4 linked regions of the Caenorhabditis elegans genome follow. The protein of the gene in region 3 purifies or fractionates together with the protein of the main gene of each other region. This does not show direct contact. Each region holds a gene or a part of one and is shown on either strand. Other genes may lie near its edges.

Evidence for each region.
Region 1: the proteins of C34C12.8 (region 3) and Y54E5A.5 fractionate together in Caenorhabditis elegans (co-fractionation; one large-scale study listed by BioGRID). This does not show direct contact.
Region 2: the proteins of C34C12.8 (region 3) and semo-1 fractionate together in Caenorhabditis elegans (co-fractionation; one large-scale study listed by BioGRID). This does not show direct contact.
Region 4: the proteins of C34C12.8 (region 3) and ppat-1 fractionate together in Caenorhabditis elegans (co-fractionation; one large-scale study listed by BioGRID). This does not show direct contact.

What each region holds. Positions count from the first base shown.
Region 1 is NC_003279.8:14,706,272-14,710,117, forward strand, and holds Y54E5A.5 (Polysaccharide biosynthesis domain-containing protein), read right to left. Parts: upstream 1,605-3,846; 5' UTR 1,597-1,604; coding exon 1,237-1,596; intron 997-1,236; coding exon 895-996; 3' UTR 788-894; downstream 1-787. Other genes in the region: npp-4 (Nucleoporin p58/p45), read right to left, coding at 1-249; dus-2 (DRBM domain-containing protein), read right to left, coding at 2,018-2,288, 2,331-2,422, 2,839-3,160.
Region 2 is NC_003282.8:14,048,958-14,057,536, forward strand, and holds semo-1 (Methanethiol oxidase), read left to right. Parts: upstream 1-2,242; 5' UTR 2,243-2,264; coding exon 2,265-2,438; intron 2,439-2,537; exon of another isoform or gene 2,538-2,558; intron 2,559-2,836; exon of another isoform or gene 2,837-2,857; intron 2,858-2,878; coding exon 2,879-2,976; intron 2,977-2,991; exon of another isoform or gene 2,992-3,012; intron 3,013-3,038; exon of another isoform or gene 3,039-3,060; intron 3,061-3,317; exon of another isoform or gene 3,318-3,338; intron 3,339-3,410; exon of another isoform or gene 3,411-3,435; intron 3,436-3,503; coding exon 3,504-3,874; intron 3,875-3,951; exon of another isoform or gene 3,952-3,972; intron 3,973-4,026; coding exon 4,027-4,229; exon of another isoform or gene 4,230-4,694; intron 4,695-4,779; exon of another isoform or gene 4,780-4,804; intron 4,805-4,867; exon of another isoform or gene 4,868-4,888; intron 4,889-5,014; exon of another isoform or gene 5,015-5,035; intron 5,036-5,211; exon of another isoform or gene 5,212-5,233; intron 5,234-5,351; exon of another isoform or gene 5,352-5,372; intron 5,373-5,537; exon of another isoform or gene 5,538-5,558; intron 5,559-5,575; exon of another isoform or gene 5,576-5,596; intron 5,597-5,838; exon of another isoform or gene 5,839-5,859; and 20 more.
Region 3 is NC_003281.10:3,458,059-3,462,194, reverse strand, and holds C34C12.8 (GrpE protein homolog, mitochondrial), read right to left. Parts: upstream 1,790-4,136; 5' UTR 1,785-1,789; coding exon 1,735-1,784; intron 1,683-1,734; coding exon 1,579-1,682; intron 1,511-1,578; coding exon 1,269-1,510; intron 1,210-1,268; coding exon 994-1,209; intron 873-993; coding exon 771-872; 3' UTR 605-770; downstream 1-604. Other genes in the region: pph-6 (Serine/threonine-protein phosphatase 6 catalytic subunit), read right to left, coding at 415-491; C34C12.2 (Fibronectin type-III domain-containing protein), read right to left, coding at 2,150-2,374, 2,442-2,723, 3,186-4,136. UniProt on the Caenorhabditis elegans protein: Essential component of the PAM complex, a complex required for the translocation of transit peptide-containing proteins from the inner membrane into the mitochondrial matrix in an ATP-dependent manner.
Region 4 is NC_003281.10:4,687,463-4,693,311, reverse strand, and holds ppat-1 (Amidophosphoribosyltransferase), read right to left. Parts: upstream 4,033-5,849; 5' UTR 3,968-4,032; coding exon 3,879-3,967; intron 3,679-3,878; exon of another isoform or gene 3,541-3,678; intron 3,255-3,540; coding exon 2,849-3,254; intron 2,803-2,848; coding exon 2,542-2,802; intron 2,307-2,541; coding exon 1,997-2,306; intron 1,949-1,996; coding exon 1,833-1,948; intron 1,538-1,832; coding exon 1,373-1,537; intron 1,329-1,372; coding exon 1,233-1,328; 3' UTR 1,141-1,232; downstream 1-1,140. Other genes in the region: nifk-1 (RRM domain-containing protein), read left to right, coding at 23-226, 272-385, 434-949, 994-1,083; tag-243 (Costars domain-containing protein), read left to right, coding at 5,102-5,131.

The sequences.
Region 1 (3,846 bases), on a different chromosome or scaffold from region 3:
GGTGGTTGTTGTCGAACCGAATAGTGGAACTGAAGACGTTGAAGCAGGTGTAGGAGCAGTTGTTGAGCCGAAAAGTCCTGCAGAAGCTGGTGCAGGAGCTGTCTGAGATGCTCCAAAGAGCCCTGATGACATGGCAGCAGCAGGCGCACCGAAGAGGCCTCCAGGCTTTGGAGCAGCAGCAGCCGTTGAGCCAAAAAGAGGTGTTGTTGAAGCAGCTGGAGCCGTGGTACTTGTACCGAAAAGCGACATTTCTGGAAAATTAAATTTTTATGGAGAAGAAAGAAAAGAAATTGGGAAATTATTGATTTTTAGACATTTTCTATTCAAAAACAGAGGTTTTTGATGGTTTTTCCTTCGGGAATTCGAATTTTCGAAGCGAAAATCACTTTTTTTTTTTGACAATTTCGCTCAGAAATCACAGAAAACACTTTTTAACAGAAAAAGTGATTTTTCATGAATTTTGAGATGCTTATCCAGATTTTAATGGAGAAAAAACGGTGGGGATTCGAAAATTGCCAAAGAAACGTTTTTAGCATCCAACATTCGATTTCCGATGAAAAATTATCAAAAATCACGAATTATTCAGGCTAAAATTGAGTTTTAGGGCATTTATCCCACGTGTCTATGAGAAAATTTTGAAAAGTCAATTTTAGCACAGAAAAATTCATCAAAATCGACATTTCTTAGAGAAAAATATCTGAAAATCAATTTTTGGAAAAAAAATAAACAAAAATATAAGTAAAAAGAGCTGGAAAACTCGAGAAATTGGAAATAAATCATTTTTAAAAACGAAGAAATCGGTTTATATGCAAACTACAAGACAAACGACAGGGTGGAAAACGAGAAAACGGGGAAAAATCAACAAAAATTCAAAAAAAAAAACGAGAGAAATTATTACAAGGAGGCGAGCGAATTGCGGTGAGCCGTGTATGCCTCCTTATTCTTCTCGTTGACACCCTCCACGTTGCGTGCCATCTCGATTGCCAGGTAGATGATCTGTAATTAATTATCGATCGATTTTGTATGGGAAAATGAGGGATGAGGGGTTTTTGGCTGGAAATTGAAGTTTTCCCAAAAATTTAAGCTAAAAACTGCAATTTCCAGCAACAAATCATGCCGAAAATCACAAAATCTGAGTTTTCTAGCTAAAAACTGGGCTAAAAACGCAAAAACTGCAATTTCTAGCTACAAATCATGCTGAAAATCACAAAAATTTCCAATTTGGGTCCCACTAACTCTTGGAACAACCACAGTATTTTCCGGACTGTAAGCCTTCGAAGCATGAATTCTCATCAGTGTTCCCATTGAATAATCGTCGACGATATCCTTGAATTGCTCACAAAACTCGCGCCATGTCTCCTTGGCTCCGCCGTCTTTCAGCAAACTCGTCGTCACCTCCTCCACATTCAAATCGGGGAATGAGCTTCGAAATGCGGCGAGAATCGCATCCTGATGCTTGTTGAGCCGAAGAACCCGAGTGTCACACCGCATTATCAGATTCATGTGAACTTCGGACCGTTCGCCGGCTTTGATCGCCCAAGCCATCTCGATCGATTCGTCGTTGACGTATTTATCAGCATCTCCGTAGTCAGTCATTTTGTTACCTGAAAATTTGGAAAATTAGAGAGAAAATTGACTTGAAACAGGAGAATTAGAAGAAAATCATGTAAAAATCTGCAAAAATTGCAAAAATCCAAGTTTTTCAACAAAATTTGCGGAATTAAATTACATTTCTATAATCCTACACACTTAAATAACATTTTAAAGTGAAAATTACGCATGAAAACTCTGAAAAAAGCCTGAAAATCTCTAAAAATTGCGAAATAAATTCGAATATTTTTTAAATTCTCCAAACTCCGCCCATTTGCAACTGCCGCACGGCGTTTTGCCATCCCCGCGCGCGCAGTGGGGATTCGATAATTAATGGAATAAAACCGATTTTAAATGCAAATTATAGCAAAAACAAACAATTTTTCAATATAATTTAACAAAAAAATAGCAAAAAACAAATTTAACATCATTCTTCTTCCCAATTTCCAACCAAAAGATTCCGAATATTCATTCCATGTAAGGCTGCGAGCGCGGCGACCTGCTCAGCCATTCTTAAATTCGGTTGTCCAATTCCTGATCGATATTTCTTGTCACCAATACACGCCGTCGCCACGAATCGCTTATCATCTCGTTTTACGACCTCATACGTGGCTTTTGGGATCTTCGTCTCCACACAATAGTCGTGAAGCACCATTTTGGGCGTTGGCGAGAAGCCGACCGAGTTTTTCAGGCGTTTTCTGCAGAAAATTAATGGTTTTTTGTTTAGGAGGAATTCTTACAATGGAAATGAGACTTCAATATTATAAACACCGTCATCGTCAACACGAGCTCGCTTCTTACTCTGTTTCTTCTTTCGTTCATCTCGCCATTTCTGAAAATTTCCAATTTTTCCGTAATTTTTTGTGTAATTTTCGAGCAAAAAGTTGCAGAACAGTGGGAAAAATCCAATTTTCGACGCTAAAATTGCTGTTTTACGTTTTTTTTTCAACTGAAAAGCTGAATAATTCTTTGAAAATCAATTTTTGTTCGATTTCCGGCATATTTTCTGGGTGAAAATTGAATTTTAGGGCAAAAAATGACTGGAAAAGTCAATTTAAGCCACGAAAATTGGATTTTGGATTTTCCATTGAAAATACATGAAAATATTGTTTTTCTTTTAACTTTTTGTGATTTTCATCAAATTTTTCAAATAAAATTGGATTTTCAAGTGAATTTTTGTGATTTTCAATGTGTTTTCCACACATTTTCAGTGCGAAAATTGCCGGATTTTCAGATATAATCCCGTACATCATATACATCCTCCATTCCAAACGCTTTACAAATCTGCAGTACACTTCCGGCGGCAACCGTCGCCTTTCCACGTGGATCATATTCCTGATCGGCGCCCAGAATCCGTTGAACAACGTATTTTGTCATAGTGTAAGACTCGTCGTATTGGCACGCGAGTTCCAGAAAATTTCGAATATCTTCGTATTTATCTAAACATCCTTCCCGACGGAAAATTGACGGAGTTGAGAGGGCTTTTCTGGCAATCATTGTACTACTTGTCTCGGTTAACAGCTGATATTTCTCAAAATCTGAATATTGCTCGATTTCGTCGGAGAGACCGCTGAAAAATGTATATATTAATTGTTTAATTGATTTTTGCGATGTTTTCTATTACGGGCAAGGGTGTCGGTTTTTCGATTTTCCTATTTTTCGCAAAAAATTTAGATTTTTCAAATATTAGCTTAATATTTTGCCATTATTCTTCTTTTTAGAAGAAATTTGTATGTTTTTTTCTTACAAATATAAGCAAAATTATATAAAAAAGTCATATTTTATGGTTAATTTTTTGAAATTATTTTTCGATTTTACAGAGTATCGAAAAATCGAAAAAATTTCGATTTTCGATTTTTCAATTTTCACTGAAAAAATTACGGGAGCACAAAAACTCTGAGAATGCGTAATGCGCAACATATCTGACGCGCAAAATATCTTCTACAGTAATCCTTTGGATGACTACTGCAGTTTTCGCTATGAGATACTTTGCGCGTCAAATATGTTGCTTGATACGCATTTTTGTGTTCCAATAATATTTATAAAACTCTTCAATTTTAAAGAGATACGGTAGTTTTAAAAATACGCAATGCACAAAGCTCTCGTGTACTCCGCGTGGATAATTTTTTTCAACTTTAAAAAATCTTTTCTCCTCGTGGAGTACACAATTTCTGCGTAAATCGACAAACTGCTATTTTAGAACTGGAAAATCTATTTTTTTTAAATATTTTTTAATGATTTTATTTGATTAAAAAT
Region 2 (8,579 bases), on a different chromosome or scaffold from region 3:
ACTATTTTAACGATAATTGTCAAAAATTCGAGGGGGTGCTATAGAAGTTGGACGGCCGTTTTTTCAACTTTTTGACCTAATTTCCGTAGTTTTTAAGATATTCTCACAAAAACCGAGGTGTGGCGGTTTTTTAACATTTGTAATCGAACTACATTCACACTTTTTCAAAATAATTTCCAGAAAGCCTCAAACACTCAAAATAGAGGGGGGTGCTATAGAAGTTGGACGCACTGTATGTTGCAGTGTTTCAATACATTTTTATTAGGCGGTTTACAAATTTCCCACCGTTGCGCTTCAGTTTTATGTATTTTTAAATTTTCATTTCTGTCTAATTCACAGACTTTTGCTTGCTTCACTGTTTTGTATACTTTTTTTTGAAACACCGTACTTCACCGTGCCAAAATTTTTGCAAAAAATGTTTTAAAAAATTGTAACCAAATTTGTCTTGATTAGAAATTTTGACTTAGAAATTTTGAAAATTGATTGTTTTTAAAAAATCGGAAAAATTGAAAAAAACCCCAATATTAAATTTTATGTGAAAAAAACATATTAAAAGCGCTCAACTTGCATTTCAAATCGAGACTAACTTGAAATGTGAATAAATTTACCGATTGTAGAAAAACTTCAAAACTGCAAATTTAAGCAAAATTGCACCAGTTAACAGTTAAGCTATTAACGGCTTACGTTTGCTTAAAGTTTGCAAAAAAATGTTTAACTATTTCACTAAAACTTCATTAGGCGTTTCAATAAATTTTATATAATACAATGAGAAGCAATGTGAAAATCCAATAAAATTCAAATGAAAGATTGATAACATGCCTCATTTTACTATTGGTATGAGTTTTCTATTAGTATTGTAACAGTATTAACATGTAGCAATATTAACTGTAATTTCCCCATATATTTGTGGAGATTTTTATGCTTAAGGTGGATTTGAATGACTGTTCTCATGAGGAAATATGAACAACTTAATATTCAAATTTGTTTATATTTCCAATAATAAAAAAAAAATAAAAATAAAAAAAATTTCGCATGCTGAAAGACGCCGAAAGTTTTTTTTTCATCGTCGACCAATTTTTTTTAGCGAGTGACATTTGCCGTTTGCCGTTTGCAGCACCTAAAATAAATAAAAAATAAATAAAATTGTTGTTTAAACCTTTTTATTAGTGGAAAACGTAATAAGAAATTTGCAAATTTAATTAACCCAAGCTGAGTTTTTCTAAAAATTTGCTATATTCGCGATACATTTTTTTACTGTTTCAAGGAATCCTCATGGAGATTTTCAATAATTTACAGTTGATCCCATCTTCATCAATAATTTTGTCCTTCAAATTTTGGAATTTGTCGCGCGCACAACCCTGAATAATTGTTTATTATTTTTCTGTTAAGCCTAGTATCAGAAGATAAATTAAAAACGAAAAAACTCACTATTTTCAATTTCAAATAAATTCACGTTTTGTAGTCAGATCGGTTTTCCAAAATTAAAAAAAAATGTTATCAAAATATCTGTGCACTTTGAATCAGTCACACAATGTTCACAAATTCATCTCTAAATTCAAAAATTAATCTCAACCAGAAACGGTACTTGTAGTTTGTATCAGAATAATTTCCTACGTGTTTCTAGTAGATTTCTAGTTGGTTCATTGAACAATCATCTTGATGACTGCTAGAGATAAGACATAGAACAGCTAGTGATACCTTATCAATGTCATCCCCTTCTGTTGTCGATTGTCTTTTTCATTTTTGATTTTTGTGTTCAGTTCGTTATATAAATAGAGAGTAGTGGAAAACTGACAAAGTTCCTGCAAACTAAACCCGTCTGAGCCAAAATTAATTGTTTTCAAAACAGTTTTGTCACCTTTCCAAATAATCCTTTTCAAAAACAAAATTATTTTCAGTTTCACTGTGTGTTTATAAGTTTCACATTTTTCAGTTTTTTTTGGTTTTGCTACATCCGCGTTAGTTTTTTAACTTACAAATTTTCGCTGTATTTTTTTTTTAATTTTTACATTCCCCTTTTTAGAGCTGTGACAAAAAAAGTAATTTTTTCTGAAGCTAAAAATGTTTGCCCAAAAGTTTTCGTGCAACTTGTTTTCAAAGCTACAAAAATAGTGTCAAACTTGAAAAAAATTTAATTTTGCTATAGTTTAATTCAGCAAAAAATTGTATGTATGTAACTTTTTAATCCATACTACTGATTTGATTATATTGTTTGATTTTAAAAAAAAGTCAATATTTGCAGATCAAAAATCCCAAAAACCAAAATGTCCCCAAACTGTGGTTTAAAATGTCATGGTGGTCCAGGATATGCATCTCCAGCTGATGCTATAAAAGGACCACGAGAAGAAGTTTTATTTGTGACTGCTCCAAATGCAGCTGATGGTCCTGATGCCATTTTTACAGTTGATGTGAATCCAGAGAGTGACACTTTTTGTCAGGTAAATTTTATTTGTAAAGTTGATTTTTTTTCTTGTTTGGAGGAAAAAAATACTGTTTCAAAAAGACGTATTGAGTTTTAGGAATAACTAATTTTTTGATTGTCTTTTGTAGATCACGTCCATAAAGCTTGAAATAACTGTTTCTATATCAGAAAAATTGTTCAAATTACCGGAATAAAATTGCAATTTTGCAATTTTCATCTCTGTTGCATCAGCCAAAAATAAATCAGGAAACTTTGATTTGATCTCTCTGATTTCAAGGTTATCTCAAGCTTAAGAGTTTTAAATCGATTTGCACGATATATGATTGTATAGTAAAAATTAAAAATTATTATTTAATTGAAAAAATTATCGGTTTCAAAATATTGATATCCACTCGTAGTTTTAGCATTTAGAGATCGATCAATCATAACATTTTCCAGTAAAATTAATATTTTCAGGTGATCAGCCGAGTTGATGTGCCACATATTGGTGATGAAGTCCATCATACTGGATGGAATGCGTGCTCTTCTTGTCATGACAAACCAACTGAGAAGAGGTTAGTTAAAATATTTATTGTTTTAGGATGATACTATTACTCTATTAGTACAGGTGGCAAAATTAAATCAACTGTTCGAAACATCAAGTTTTGTTTAAAAATTTTTTTAATTAAATTTTCATTTTTGAAGTGTGGTTTTCCGACTTTTTTTTTTTAAAAAGTGGTCACAATAACATGTTTTTTTTTATTCTTCAAACAAAATCATCATATATTTGATAAATCTATAGATTCTCCCTTGTTTGTTTTTCTGATTTTTAGATTTTCTCAAGAAAAAACTGATAAACCTAAATTTTTCCACGACCCTTGATACGGATGCAAAAGCTTTGTAATAAAATCAGATCAGAGCGACATTCACGAGAAGATCATTTTTATAAATTTAGTTAGACTTGAACCAATTTCTTGAAACAGTTTTTTAATTCGAATTTACAAACTTCACATTTCAGTCAACTGAAAGATCAATAAATTTTTAGATCGGAGAACTTTCATTAACAAACCAAAACAGTAGAATAATTTCTAAATAATTTCAGATCCCATTTGATCGTTCCTTGCCTGAACTCTGACCGTATCTACATTATCAACGTAGAAAATGAGCGTAAAATCTATCTTGAACATACAATTGAACCATCAAAACTTCATTCTCTAAACCTTTCATTTCCACATACTTCACATTGTCTTGCCGATGGAAATATTATGATTAGTACTTTGGGAGAAGCTAATGGAACTCCATCTGGTAACTTTTTGTTGTTGGATGGAAAGACATTTGAGCCGAAAGGAACATGGCCAGCTGACGAGAAGACTGTTCCGTTTAACTATGATTTCTGGTACCAGCCAAGGAGAAATGTGATGATTTCTACGGAATGGGGATCACCGAATCATATTAAAAAGGGATTTAATCCAGGTGGGAAAACTGAAAATACTTTTAAAAAATCACTGTTTCAACACCTCTTGTTTCATTTTACCAAAAATTAAAATTATTCCTTGCGGCATGAGCCATCAGCATCACTAAAAACCAAAAAGTTACAAATTTTTTTAAAACATGAAATTTTCCAGCTCACGTCGGAGAGGGTCTCTACGGAAACAGTGTTCATATTTTCGAATGGGACTCTAAGAAATATCTTCAAACAATTGATCTACCACAGCCACTTGGAGCACTTCCACTTGAAGTTCGATTCCTCCATGAGCCAACCAGTGAGCACGCTTTTGTGGGATGTGCTCTTGGATCAGGAATTTTTAGAATTCATCCTGTTGAGGAGGTGAGTAATATTCAATAGAATTTTCAGAAAAATTGAAATGTTTCAATAAGTTATTATTTGTTTAGAAACTGAGATTAATATGTTAAAACCGTAGAATAGAATCAAGATTAAAATTATTGTAAAACTAATTTGCCGAGCTCGGAAAATTTTGAGAACTGCCGCACATCCTTGATTGGGAGGTAGCAAAGTTTCCAAAACTGTTGCTTCTTCCAGAGTACTCAAATTTTATTCCATGAAAACTCTTCAGTAGAGTGTTTGATTTTTCAAAAGTTTCAGTCAATTGAAAATGGTTAAACAGTTTTGGAGATCAATGCCGTGATTTTACGAAAACATTGAAACATTCAAAAAACTTTTCAGTTTCAATTTGTCCTCATAACACACTCTGTTGTTTTTAGTTTAGTTCTGTTGGTATTCCTGTCATCTATTGAAATAGATCCGGTTTTTAGAATTCATCCTGTTGAGGAGGTGAGTAATATTGAAAAGAATTTTTAGAAAACTTTTAGAAAACTGTTTCAATAGGTTATCATATTGTATCTTATTGGAAGTTTATTTCATTTGCTAATCCAAAAAAACGTATGAAATCAAATATAAATGATCTTCGTAGGGGGAGTTGACAATTTATCAATAGTACTGATATTTTCGTTGTCAGTAATTGAATAGCAGTGTTGTAAGCTGATGTGTAACTTTCTGGGATCACCGAAACATTGCATTAGAAACTTTCAAGTTTAAAAATAAATAAATTGTTTCAATACGTTGTTATCAAAACTTCCGTTCTATTCAATTGATTTTTTTTCATTCCCGAAGTTTTCTGAGCAAGTTCTTTGGCAAAATGACTAACTTTCGAGAAAAATGTGGACATTTTGAGAAAATCAGAGCGCTTTCGTACATTTCAAATCCTTTAATGCTTTGGCATACATGATTAGGGCATAATTTGAATTTGAAATTCAGAGAAAGTTGTGTAGACCAAACTGCTATTTTTCTTTTTTTTCATTTGGAAGAACCAATATTAATTCAAAATAGTTTCAGTATTTATAGACTACTTGAAACATATAATAATTTTTAAAAAATATCTTTGAGTGTTTTTAATAATTTATTTTTAAATCAGTTTATAGATTCATTAAACGTTTAACAATGATGCAAATACTAAAAACGTATTTTTCCGAGTTTTTTAAAATTAGGTTAGTGAAACAGTAGATTTTTGATGAACCTTTTTTTAAAAAGCAGCATGCATTTAGTTTTGACAAAAAGTTCAAATCGATTTTTTCTGCGTGACTGTGAATCAAGAAAACTCGGTCAATTAAAGAAAGAAAAAATATTTTTTTTTCGACACTAAAAAATAATTTTAAAGCGCGGACATTATAGTCTCAGTGAAACTTTATTCAAACCAAAACGTTTAATCAGCTAATTGAAACATTAAAAATTTTATGATTTTGTTAGTTTTTCTAGCAATGTCAATGCAATCAAATAATTTTCAAGTAAGATGTTTAATGAGTTATAGACTTTTTTATTAAATTTTTGAAAAAAAAACCGATTTCAGATTTAAGTAAAATTATCTCTGCTTCTGCTGCATTGCTGCGAAACAAAAATTCCTTTCTGTGCAAAGTATAGTCTCACTGGAAATCAAGTTCGAGTGACAATTAGAAATCTCACCGGGTTTTCTAGATCATCTGAAACATATAATTTTAAAAAATTGACACCTTGTTCAACTTGAAACATTTAATCAGCCAATCGAAACATTAAATGTCTCATGATTTTTAAAGCTCTTTTAGAACAGTCGATAAGTCACGCCACAGTTCAATTGAAAACAATTTTCTAGCGAGATGTTAAATGAGTTTGTTGAAACAGTAGATTTTCGTGTAAACTTTTGAAAACAAAAATTACGTTTTAAATAAAATTATATCCACTTCAGCAGTGTGCCCTTGAAACAAAAAAGCTCGATCAAAAAATTTATTTTTTGTGAATGGCCACCAACTTTTCAGGCAAAATTACAAAAAAACATAAAATTTACTGTTTCAAAAAGTTAATATAATTTTGGCAGCGCATATACCTACACTTATTTCGACAGTTCGCGATAACCTCTTTTTGAAAATAAAGTTTTTCAGAAAAGTTGCTTCTTTCCTGTTCTCGAGGTGTTCTTTTAACACACTTTGTATTTTTTTTCTTGTAAAATCTCAAAATTCTGATAGTCAGTATGAAAATAGTTGCCAAATGTTTGTTGAATACTACTGAAAACAAATCTTCAGTGATACGTTGAATGAGAAACATTCAATTTTTCAAATAATTCCAGAACTCAACAACCCATGCAGCTACTCTCGTTGCCTTCATTCCTTCTAAAAAAGTAAGTGGATGGGCTCTTCCAGAAATGCCAGCTCTTATAACTGATATCCTTATCTCAATGGATGATCGTTTCCTGTATGTCTCGTGTTGGCTTCATGGAGATATTCGTCAATATGACATTTCTGATCCATTGAAGGTGAAATTGAATTCTCAAGTTTATATTGGAGGAAGTGTACATACGGAATCAAATGTAAAAGTTCTAGAAGGTGAAAAACCAATTGAAGCACTTTATGTGAAGGGACGGAAAATTGAAGGAGGTCCACAGATGTTACAGTTGTCATTGGATGGAAAGAGACTTTATGTTACAACTTCTTTATACAAGAAATGGGATGATCAATTCTATCCAGAACATGTCAAGTGAGTGCTACTTATGAAAAAATTTAGAATTATTTCTGAGAAAAAAGTTACCGTTTCATAAATGTAGTATATTTTGAGCAAACTATTTCCGCTCACTTGTGGGGCTATTCGCGAAATGTAATTCTTTTTTATTCATTTTATTCATTGAACCTTTGTCCTTACGAAACAAATTATCTCGAATTTTGTAGTTTACACTAAAAATACGCTCATGGTGAAATTATTGTTTAGAAAAAAAATCACCGTTTCAAAAATCTTTCATATTTGCAGCGATTCTCTCTCACTTGCTGAGTTGATTTTATCACGAATTCATGTTTTTCTTTGTTTTTCTAGTCTAAATAATTTTTAAAAAAAAGAACAACTATGAGAAATCGATAAAACAGTTCAATAGCTGCAGCACCGAAAGTTTGAAATTACACTACTCTTTAAAGGCGCACACACGTTTTCCGTTGAAAAAATAGTCACGTCGAGACTTGGTAATGTTTCTTTTCGTCCGCTTAATAATTCATGATAATTTCAAAAAAAAAACACCAAATTCGTCCTACTTTCTCAATGGAGCGCGTTTGCAACCCTGTCATTTTTCAGATCTGGCGCCACAATGGTTCAAGTCAACATTGATCCAGAATCTGGAAAAATGGAAATAAATCGAGACTTTTTGATCGATTTTGGAAAAATTGAAGGAGGTCCCTATTTGGCTCACGAGATGCGTTATCCCGGTGGAGATTGTACATCGGATATTTGGATTTAATTTGGTTTTTTTTAAAATGTTTTGCATAAAAAATTAGCTTGTACATATTCATCACAATTCATTCAGATTTTCAAAAAAAAATTGAAAGGATTTTTCAACTCATGATGCAACTAGAAAAACGGGGGAAACCAGGCGAATAAATATTGAAAAAAGGGGATTTTTGTAATGTGAACGAAGCAATCATCATATATGGTACAAAGAATGTGGCGAGTTGAAATCACGGGAATTTAGTAGAATTGCACAAAAAAATTATGGATTAGAAAGTAGGAAGAAAATATATGAACATCCGGAATTCTCCTCAATAAAAACTGGCTCCTTTTATCGATTGTCTTTTTCATTTTTGATTTTTTGTTCAGTTCATTATATGAATAGACAGTAGTGGAAAACTAACAAAGTTCCTGCAAACTAAACCCGTCTGAGCCAAAATTAATTGTTTTCAAAACAGTTTTGTCACCTTTCCAAATAATCCTTTTCAAAAACAAAATTATTTTCAGTTTCACTGTGTGTTTATAAGTTTTAAAAATGAAAGACATTTGATTCAAATGACCTACAACTTTTCTGAATATCTCAAAAATGAAAACTCAAAAAAGATGATCACTCGAACTAAATGCCCAGAAATTTTATTTTTGTTTTTAAATGAATTTTTAAAATGAAAGACAATAAATTCAAATGACCTACAACTTTTCTGAATATCTCAAAAATGAAAACTCAAAAAAGATGATCACTCGAACTAAATGCCCAGAAATTTTATTTTTGTTTTTAAATGAATTTTTAAAATGAAAGACAATAAATTCAAATGACCTACAACTTTTCTGAATATCTCAAAAATGAAAACTCAAAAAAGATGATCACTCGAACTAAATGCCCAGAAATTTTATTTTTGTTTTTAAATGAATTTTTAAAATGAAAGA
Region 3 (4,136 bases):
TGAGTAAAAAAAATCAATTTCCAAGCTCAAATCGCCTAATGTAGATTTACGCAGCTCGTGTACTCCCCGAGGAGAAAAATACTAGTTTTCGACTAAAATGCTAGATTTTACATTTTCGCTGTTTTTTAAAAGTTTAACGTTCAAATCGCCGATTTTTCGCTTTTTTGGTAATTTTTATGCTGAAATTCAGCATTTTTAATATGGAAAACTGCTGGAAACGATGATTTGTAGTCGATTTTCATTTAAAATAATTAAAATGACAATTTTAATGTTAAATTGGTCAAAAATTGAGCATTTTCTCCAAAAACTATAAAAATCTTCTCCTCGAGGAGTACACGAGCTGCGTAAATCGACACAAAGCGATTTGTGCTTGGAAAATCGCATTTTTCGCTTGAAATATCCAAAATTTGGTACCCAATAAAATGCGTTGTGCTCTTTTCGAGCTCTCCTTCATCGCACACTGTCACCCGAAGAAGGTTTGTGTCGATCATTCTGAAAATTTTACGGTTTTAAATGAAAAAGAAGCTTTTTTCCTGTTTAAAATTAAAAAATATATGAAAAATGGCTGAAAACCTATCGAAAAAGTGGAAAAAAGGGAATTGAAACTCAAAAATTGTTCATTCGAATCCTATAAAACGGCGGGAAAAAGTGATTGGAGTGTGATGAAATAACGGAAAAAACAGAAAAACAATAAAAATTACTAGCTATTCAAAAAAAAACTACAAAAAACCGGAAAAACATTAAAAAACCAGAGGAAAATTAAAAGAAAATTATTTAGAGACGACTCCAACTTGAGCAGGCCGAATTGGACGTTCTTTCAGGCTGTAGCCGATCTTTGTACACACTTCGATATGTCCGACAGGTTGTTTGGCCTGAAAATGGAGGAAATTAAGCATTTTGTGGCATTTAAAAAGGATTAAATAAGCCCAAATTGTTCAAAAAATACAAGATTTGGCTCTTTTATTTCGGAAAATTCGGGCGGTTAGCACTAACATTAGCAGATGGAATCTGGAAAACGGCTTCGTGGAGATTGGGGTCGAACTTTTCATTGGTTGGATCCACGGTCACAAGGCCATGCTTTGCGAATGTCTTTGCCATGACAGTACGGGTCATTGAAACTCCTTCGAAAAGATCTTTCAGAGCTTTTCCTCCCGATTCCAGATCTTCTGGCTTCACAGACTTGACGGCAATGTCGAGAATATCGGAGACCTGCAAATTTGGAATTATTTTAATTGTTTTTCGGTTGATTTTGATTTTAAAAATCGAACCTCAAGTAAATCTTTGCAGAATGATTGGATTGCAAAAACCTTAGCATCGTCGGTTTGCTTGATACCTCGCCGACGAACATTTTCAGTTTCAGCAAGCGATCTTTGATATTTATCCTTAAAATCCAAGCTTTCGGCCTGCAAATCGTCGTATTCCTTGAGAAGAACATCAAAAGCACCCTTTGGAATCTGTGTCTTGTCCTCGCCGGCAATCGAAGTAAGAACAATTTCTTCATAGTCGGCTCCTGGTTTTTTTTTAAATATTATATCAGTTTTTAGAATTTAGAATTTGTTTTAGAGTAAAAATCGCTACCTCTGAGTCTCTTTCCGTCTTTTCTAATCTCATAATTGACTTCTTCCGATGATTGTGATGCCGTGGCGCTGAATCTTTGAATGCGCAAGTTTTTCTGAGTTTTCCTGCAATGAAAAAATTTGATTTTCACCGTTATTCAAAATTCAAGGAACTTACAGCGTTTGTTGAACAGCCTGGCCGACGAAAGACACTCCTTTGCGCAGCATATTGTCTGAAATTGCCAAAATTTGAAGAAATTAGGAATAAAAAACGAAAAATCGGCGGAAATTGGTAAAAAACGAAGAAAAAATTAATAAATTTCATCATGACAAGAAATGCGCCAGCACATGACTCAAGTGCGCCAGTAACGTGCTGGCGTGATTTTCGTGCGTGTCTGCGTCTCCATGCTTTGCACACTCTTTTCGAGGAGTTTTTAAGCGGCAATTTAAAGTGGAAAAGGGCAAACTGTAGCAGTTTTTTCTTAACTTTTTCTGCAAAAATCTGTGTATTTCCGCAAAAAAACACAGCAAATCCAACAAAAAATTTATTATCAATGCTCTAAAAGCCTTAAACACAAAAAAACCAAGATTTGTCACTTCTTATGTTCGCGTTCTCCATCAAAATCTGGTCGCTTCGGTACAAATCGATATTTGACAATTTTCGAATCATCTTTTCCATCAGTCACAGGTTCCAGGTGAGCTTTCGCGAAATGCGGTGATGTGACTGGAAATCTGGAGCATCCTCTGAACGTGACGCTTTCTCTGGATTTCACGTAACTCGGCGCATGTCGGCGCTGACCTTTCCATTCTGGGGGACGCTGAAAAAAAAGTATGTATTATTGCAAGTGCGCTCCAGTAAACTGAGCGATTCCGGCTGTCACTCACTCTTAAGGCATTCAAAGCACCCGGACTTGGAATTGCATATCGAGCTGGCTGGGCTATTGGTTTTGGCACATATCTCGGAGCACTTGTGCTGGTAGATCCACTGGAAGAGCTGCTGATTGGCTCAACACGAGATCTGTAAAGAGTTGAGGAGATATCCGGCATGTCAAAATGATCTGATTTCTTCGAATTTTCGGGCGGTGCAGAGCTTCCGGTGGTTGAAGAACTACTTTGAACTTCTTTTGAATCAAATATATTGTGAAGTGCTGTGGCAATGTCGGGCATCTGCAATAATTTTCCATTTTTGCCAGTTTCATATTCAAATTACCGCCAAGAGACTTTGTTCAATAGAGCGCGCTTGCATTATTTTAATTTTTGTTTTTTTTTTCTCATCAATTCTCTGAACTTCTTCATTTTTTGTGAATTTTCACTGAAAATTTGAATGAAAAGTCAAGATAAATGCAAATTGTTCATTAGCTTTTCAAATTTTCAGTAAAAATACACAAAACATGAAGGAATTCAGTGAAATAATTAGGACAAAAAAACAAAAACAAAAAATAATGCAAGCGCGCCCCATCGAACAAATCGTCTTGGCGGATTTTTTCATTTTCAAAAGTTTTTTATTGAAAAAACCTTAAAATTTGACTTTTTTTTCCTGAAAAATTGAAAAAATCGATACTGACAGATTGGCAAAATTTCGCGGAATTTTAAGTAAATTTTTTAGCAATTTTTTTCGTTATAACTAACAGGAGATTTCTGGCTTCCGAGAGCTCCATTATCTTTCTTTTCTGACTCAAATCCTCCAATTGTACTCGAAGAACTATTCATTTCGTCCGATTCCACCACCACGTGAGATTTGTAAGGCGTTGAGGAAATATCCGGCATGTCAAAATGGGCTGATTTCTTCGAATTTTCAGGAGTTGCAGAGCTTCCAGTCTTCAAAAACGAGCTCATTCCTTCTGACTGAGCTTTGTAAGAGGCTGAGGTGAAGCCTTCTGGCTTGATATAGCGAAATTCTGGTCTCTTAATATATCCTGGAATAAGCTTCAAGTTCCTGGAGTTACTTTCCGAGCTAAAATTGAATGGTTTTCCTGAATTCACCACATATCTAACTTCTCCAGTGTTCAGCTGATCCGAAATTTGTGTTCGGCCTGGAGGGCCTGGAGATGCTGTGATGGGCTTTCTGGAGCTGCTGCTGGTGCTTTCAAAATAGAACGGCTTCCCATAGCACGCAGAACTTGTGCTGGGCTGATCAGGCTTCAGATATTTCGCTAGAGGACTTCCGAAGTCACTTGAATCTTCCCCATCCTGGGTTCTGTCAGACATCAATGAAATATCCTCTGGATTTATCAGCTTTACATCAGGCTTCTTCCTTGGTGTAGGCTTTTTGATGCCGACTTTTTTTTCGATTTTATCAATTTTCCATTTCACTTCCGACACGTCTTTCCGACTTTTCTGCAGCTCTTTCTTGAATAAATCTGCGAATTTCCACGAATTTCGAACTTGAATCGATTGGTTTGAAATTTGTGATTCTTTAGCTTTGTTCTCCTTCATTAGTTTAACATTTTCTTTTTGAATATTCACAAATTCCACTGAAAACACTTTAATCTCATCCTCTCGCATTGTCAATTTCTCCGTTAACGCAGCTTTTTCTTTTTCCAATCGTTCAATTGTTCGTTGTAGATGTACAATAAATTG
Region 4 (5,849 bases), 1.2 Mb from region 3:
CATTTTTCAGATCTCAGACACAATGGTTGCCCAGAATCCAACTTCGATCAGTTCTGGAGGACGCAAGCAACCTCAGAAGCAAGACAAAGTCCAAAAAAAGCAGCTGAAGAAAATTTATGTTGTCAAGATTAAGCGTATTCCGTTTGGATTCTTCGAGAAGGAGTTGCTCGGGTATTTCCGTCAGTTCGGAAATGTGTTGAGAATTCGTGTGGCCAGAAACAGACGCGTAGGTTCAGCAACCTGTTAATATAGTATTAAATCATTATTTTAGACTGGTAATCATAAGGGATGGGCGTACGTTGGATTCGACAACAAGGCTGTTGCTGAAATCGCTGCCGAATCAATGAACGGTTACTTGATGTTCGAGCAACGTCTCGGGTGCACGGTAGGTCAACTTCTACCATTATATCCTTGAAAAACTTATTAAATTTAGGTGATGAAACCAGAACTTATCCCGAAGGCAATGCGCCATGGCCCACTGCTTGTGATGCGTCCATCTTACTTGGGCATCGCTAAAAAAGATACAATTGCCAGAAACAATACCACCGGAAAAAATGACGTCATCAATGCCAAGAAACGCGTGCAAAATCTCAACAAAACTTTGAAGAAGCTGCAGAATATGGGGATCAACTATGATTTCTCTGTGTCTGGAACACCAAGAACGCCACTTAAGAAGGTCATTGACAATGAGGTTCAATTTATCAGTGATGTCACCCCGAAAAGCACGACTCCGAAAATTGTGAAAGCTGCAACTCCAAAAGCAGCTACTCCAAAGGCCGTGACTCCAAAACAAGCAACTCCGAAAGTTTCCACTCCAGTCACCAAAAAGGTTGTCATCAAGACTCCTAAAACTGAAAAGCCGGAACCCAAACAGTTCACTCCAAAAACTCGCGCAGGAAAGAAGGCAGCTGCTGCTGCTACTCCACAGGCTAAATCTACGCTATCCAACGTACGAAAAACTTTAAATAAAATTTGGTTATATTAATTTTCCAGACAATCCTCAAATCCGTCGCTGCAAGTGCCCGTCCAGCTGCTGTCGAAAAGAAAACATTGAGATCTCGTGGAAAGAAGAAGAGCTTGTAAGCGTCCTGATTTCTGTTGTTAATCATTTTATTTTTTTTCCGCAAACTGTTGTTGTTCTTATTTTTATACACATTCATTGTTGATTTTTAATTGAATTGATTTTGTTTTTCATGAATACAAATAATCTATTCAAACTTTTCAAACACTAATTATAAATCGATAGCAACTGGATATTTTCCAGTGAGACATGCGGTGCAATGTCCTGGAGAGAAGTTGGCAGCTCGTTCGATTCCTTTTTGAACAGACTGAAAAAAAATTAAATTGAGGAGAAAGTGAGGTTCAAACTCACCGAAACTAAACCGTCAACCGAAAGATACCGTACTGAATCGGCTCCAACAAATTGGCAGATTTCTGGAATTGTTTTTTCGGCAGCAATCAATTCCTTTGTGGTTGGAATGTTGATTCCCATAAAACATGGGAATTTTACAGGCGGGGAAGCAATTCGTAGATGAACCTTTAAATTTAGAGGTATTATTTGAATAATGCGGTCTTGACACGATCGAAATTTCTAAGATACCGTACTCTACCGTATACTCCAGTTTCTCGTTTTTATGTATTCCGCTATTGTTTTCTTAATATTTGCTGAACATCTAGATGCACAGTTTTACAACAAATATATGTATTGGAAAAATCTGCAAAAACGGAGAATTACTCGCGTTATACGGTAGCTGAAAATTTTTGCTCGTGTCAAGACCTTTTTCACGGTTTATAAGGTGAAAAATCATTATTTTTAACAACAAGGGTAATACCTCTTTTGCTCCAGCATCTCTTAACATTTTTACCAAAGTTCTCATCGTATTTCCACGTACAATTGAATCATCTACTAACACAATCCTTTGTCCATGAATCTTTTTCTTCAATACTCCTGAAATAGAATTCATGAAGTCTTTCTAAATAGTTTTCTTTATTTTACCAAATTTCATTTTAATCGCATTTTGTCTCATCTCATCATTTGGTTCTATAAATGATCTTCCAACATATGAATTTCTGTGTAAAACAGGTTCATATGTGATTCCAGACTGAGAAGCGTATCCAATTGCTGCACTCAGCGAAGAATCTGGAACATTTCCAACAATATCTGCTTCTAGATCATCTTCAAGAGCCATCGTTTTTCCACATTCTTCACGAACAGTTTGTACTTGTTGTCCTTCAATTTCTGAATCATTTCGTGCAAAATAGACATATTCGAATATGCACATAGCCAGAGGAGTATTCGGTTTCATCTGAAATGACTCATATAATTCCAGGTTTCTGATTTTTCAGCATAGCCCATCTGTCTCGATTGTAATTTTGGAAAATACCAAAAATAACCAGAAAGTCTAAAAACTACATGTATTTGCAAAACTTTAAAAACACTTTTTTAAATTTTAATGTCTAACAAAATACATACATGAGAAAATGAGGTCAGAGAAGGCGGTAGGTAGGCGCGTAGGCAGGCCAAGATATATGTAAGTTTACCTGCCACACCGACTTGATTCCTCCTGTCGATAATTCCACAATTTCTCCTGGTCTCACTTCGAAATCTAATTTAGCATTTGCAGGAAATGCACAAGATTCAGAAGATGCAATGAATGCTTCTGGATTTCCATTTTTAGAATATACAGTACCAACACAAAGTGGACGATTTCCAAATGGATCACGAATTGCGTATAGTCTATCAAATGTCATTACTAGTAGAGAATATGACATGTTTAGTGCAGACATTGTTACTGCGAGCTCCTGAAGTTTTTTGGTTTAAGAATTTTCATGTTTTTCAAAAACTCACTCTTGTAATATCACCCATCTCTTGTCCATACTTGCATTTTACATTCAGAGCAATCGCTTTTGCAATCATTTGAGCAATAAGCTCTGAGTCAGTGTCAGTTGATAAACCAACACCTTCATGAAGTACTTCCTTTCTTTTTTGTTTCGCATCAACCAATTCTCCATTATGAGCAATTGCTACAGTACCCATTGCAGTATATACCACAAATGGTTGTACACAATTGATTCCAGACTTCTTCTTTCCTGCAGTTGAATACCTATTATGACCAATTATTATCGATTGCCCATTCATTCTTGAGATATTATCTTCAGTAATCACATCTCGGACAAGTCCATGACCTTTGATAATTTCCACGTGGTCTCGAGTGATTCCATCTGAACCAACGAGTCCTGTTGATTCAGTTCCTCTGCAAAATATACATGATAAGAATTGCAAATTTGCAACTAATTTGTTTTAGTATTTTATTTTTCTATCACGCACGGAAAACAATTTAGAAACTAGACAATATTTGCAAGAAATGCTAGACTTATTCATTTAGCTATTTCGATTTTTTGCAAACTCAAAATCACTGCACAATCTACTTGTTTGCAACAATGTCAACCACTGCAACGCTACAAGCACTTTATTGGTCGTGTGTCCGAGTGGTTAGCGCTGTTTGCTGTGACCCACGAGACGCCAGTTCAATCTCTACATACGCGTCATTTTCATCCAATTGGCAACGTGATTCTAATGTTGGCGATTCAGCGTATTTCTGACGCAAAATTGATAACTTCTCCATTGACGTCTAGTCAGACTAAACTGGCTCGGATACAATTAGGGAGTTTACACTTTTGCCTTCTTGTGGAACGATGGCTTAAGTTAAGCAGAAGCGGAATGAACGGGAAGAGAAAACGAGAGCTTTTTGAAAAATTAGATATTTAGGAATGAGGAGCTGAACAGTTAAAAATTCAAACTGAAACCAATGTAGGAGATGTATGAAATCAAACTTTTTGAGACAGAGCTTATTAAAAATTTAAACTTAAAACCCCACCTGTGTTGAAGAGCAGCCAATCCATTTGCAGCAAGAACATTCAAATGCTCATAATTTCCAGCGGCAACAATCCCAAATATACCACACATTGTTCGGTGTGATCGTCGTCAGAAATCAATTGCCTAATGTGCATGTTATTATCTTTTTCGATGCTCTGAATGTTTGATACGCCAATCATAAAACCTTTACACCCTCCACCTGCTATGTTTTTAAAGTTATTGCCTATTTTTCATGGAAAAGTTCACTTCTGTCGATAGAGCCAGGTTTTTGAACTTTTTCCGCTGATAAGAACAAGTGAATGTCTAATTGAAGTTTGATTTTAAAAGGAGTTTTTAGGTTTAATTGAAAATAAACACGTTGCTCGGGAATACGATAACTATAAGATGTGAATGAAATAAAACTTAACCTGGCGCGAGAGCTAAAATCTTCGGCTTTCAGAATCTGTAATTTACTTTCGCAGCAGATGCATGGAAATCTGGAGAGTTTAATTTTAAAATGTAATACTGAATCTAATGAAATTCCTGTTTGAAAAAGGTTTGTGAGTATGTTATCAAACTTTTGCAACTTTCTGACAACATTTTTCTGTAAAATTTTTTTTTTTCTGCCAACTTCAATTTATTTGAGCAGATTTTTTTAGAGTGTCATGTTGTGTCTAGAAAGTAGATATTGTTGTCACTTGGACTCCGTAGAGCCCGTCCGTCCCAACTTTGCGGATGTATGTGCTTGGTCAGGTTCACCCACGTCAACAGTTATCAACTGTCAATATGGACTTCGAAAATATTCTTTACATACTTTCCTGTTAATATCTGAATTGGTAAAATGGTTTTCGTTCTTTGAAATTCCAACACAATTCAAAAATCAAAATATCCCTCTGTTTGTTATTGAACATTGACCACCCAGTTGTATTTACAAGTTGACATTAGGTTTTTGAATTTCAAAAAATTTCCGAACAACTTCGCTTTTCTCCATTTTACTTGAGCTCCCTGTCAAAAATAGCCTTTCTGTATGTGTGTGCATTGTTTTATATTTGAACAGCGAAATTGCACGTGAGACGAAGAGACGCAGACAGCAAAGATTGTCGCGAAAATGAGCGCCCACTTACTTTTTGGCTAAACTTATCAAAATTGCTCAAAAAATAAGGAGACAGTCAAGGATATATCTTTTGAAAGTTAAGCACACATATCTGAAATTTGTTTTACTGAAAAAAGAAGTTGCTCAAGAAAATGCCAAGTCAATCAGTGGAAGAACAAAATGTAAGTTTAATCCATTTTTATATTCGTTTAGATTTTTGTAAATTAGAAAATATTAAAGGTACATAGGTGAACTTGAAAATTATTTTTGAAGAAAGTTTTGAACGTTTATAAAAGTGACTCACAAAACTATTAAGTAGTTTTGAGTATTTGCTCAATTTTGTGGTGACTTATATGTCACATATTTAATCAAGATTCAACCACTCATATTAATGGGAAAAGTATTCTAGTTTAGAAGTAGTTTTTAAATTTTTTTTTAAATTCTATGCTTCCTTGCCGCAAAAATCTTTGCTATGGGTTTCATCAATAGTGGTTTCTTAAATTTTTCCGACGCTTGATTTCCCATTTGTTAGGTCTATACATTTTTCTTGAATTTTATTATAATTTCTCTAGCTCTGCTTTAAAAAAAAAGTAGTCCAAATCAGGCGGACAAGTTCACCCGACAGCCTTCCTCGCTGTTTTCAACCCGATATCTGCCTACTGGCCTACTGGTGTGCACATAGTTTCAGACTAGATGCGCGTAATAAATTTTTTAAGAACAAGTTCATTGAAATACAAACGTGCCTAACAAAGTCTGGGAGTCGTTCCAAAACTCATAAAAACTCATAGGTCGTATAAAATTCATTCATTTTTTTTTAGAAAATTTCCATTTGCCAAATTAATTTTTAAAAATATTTATGTGATTATATAAGCTCATTTTAAATTAACAAATAACCAAAAA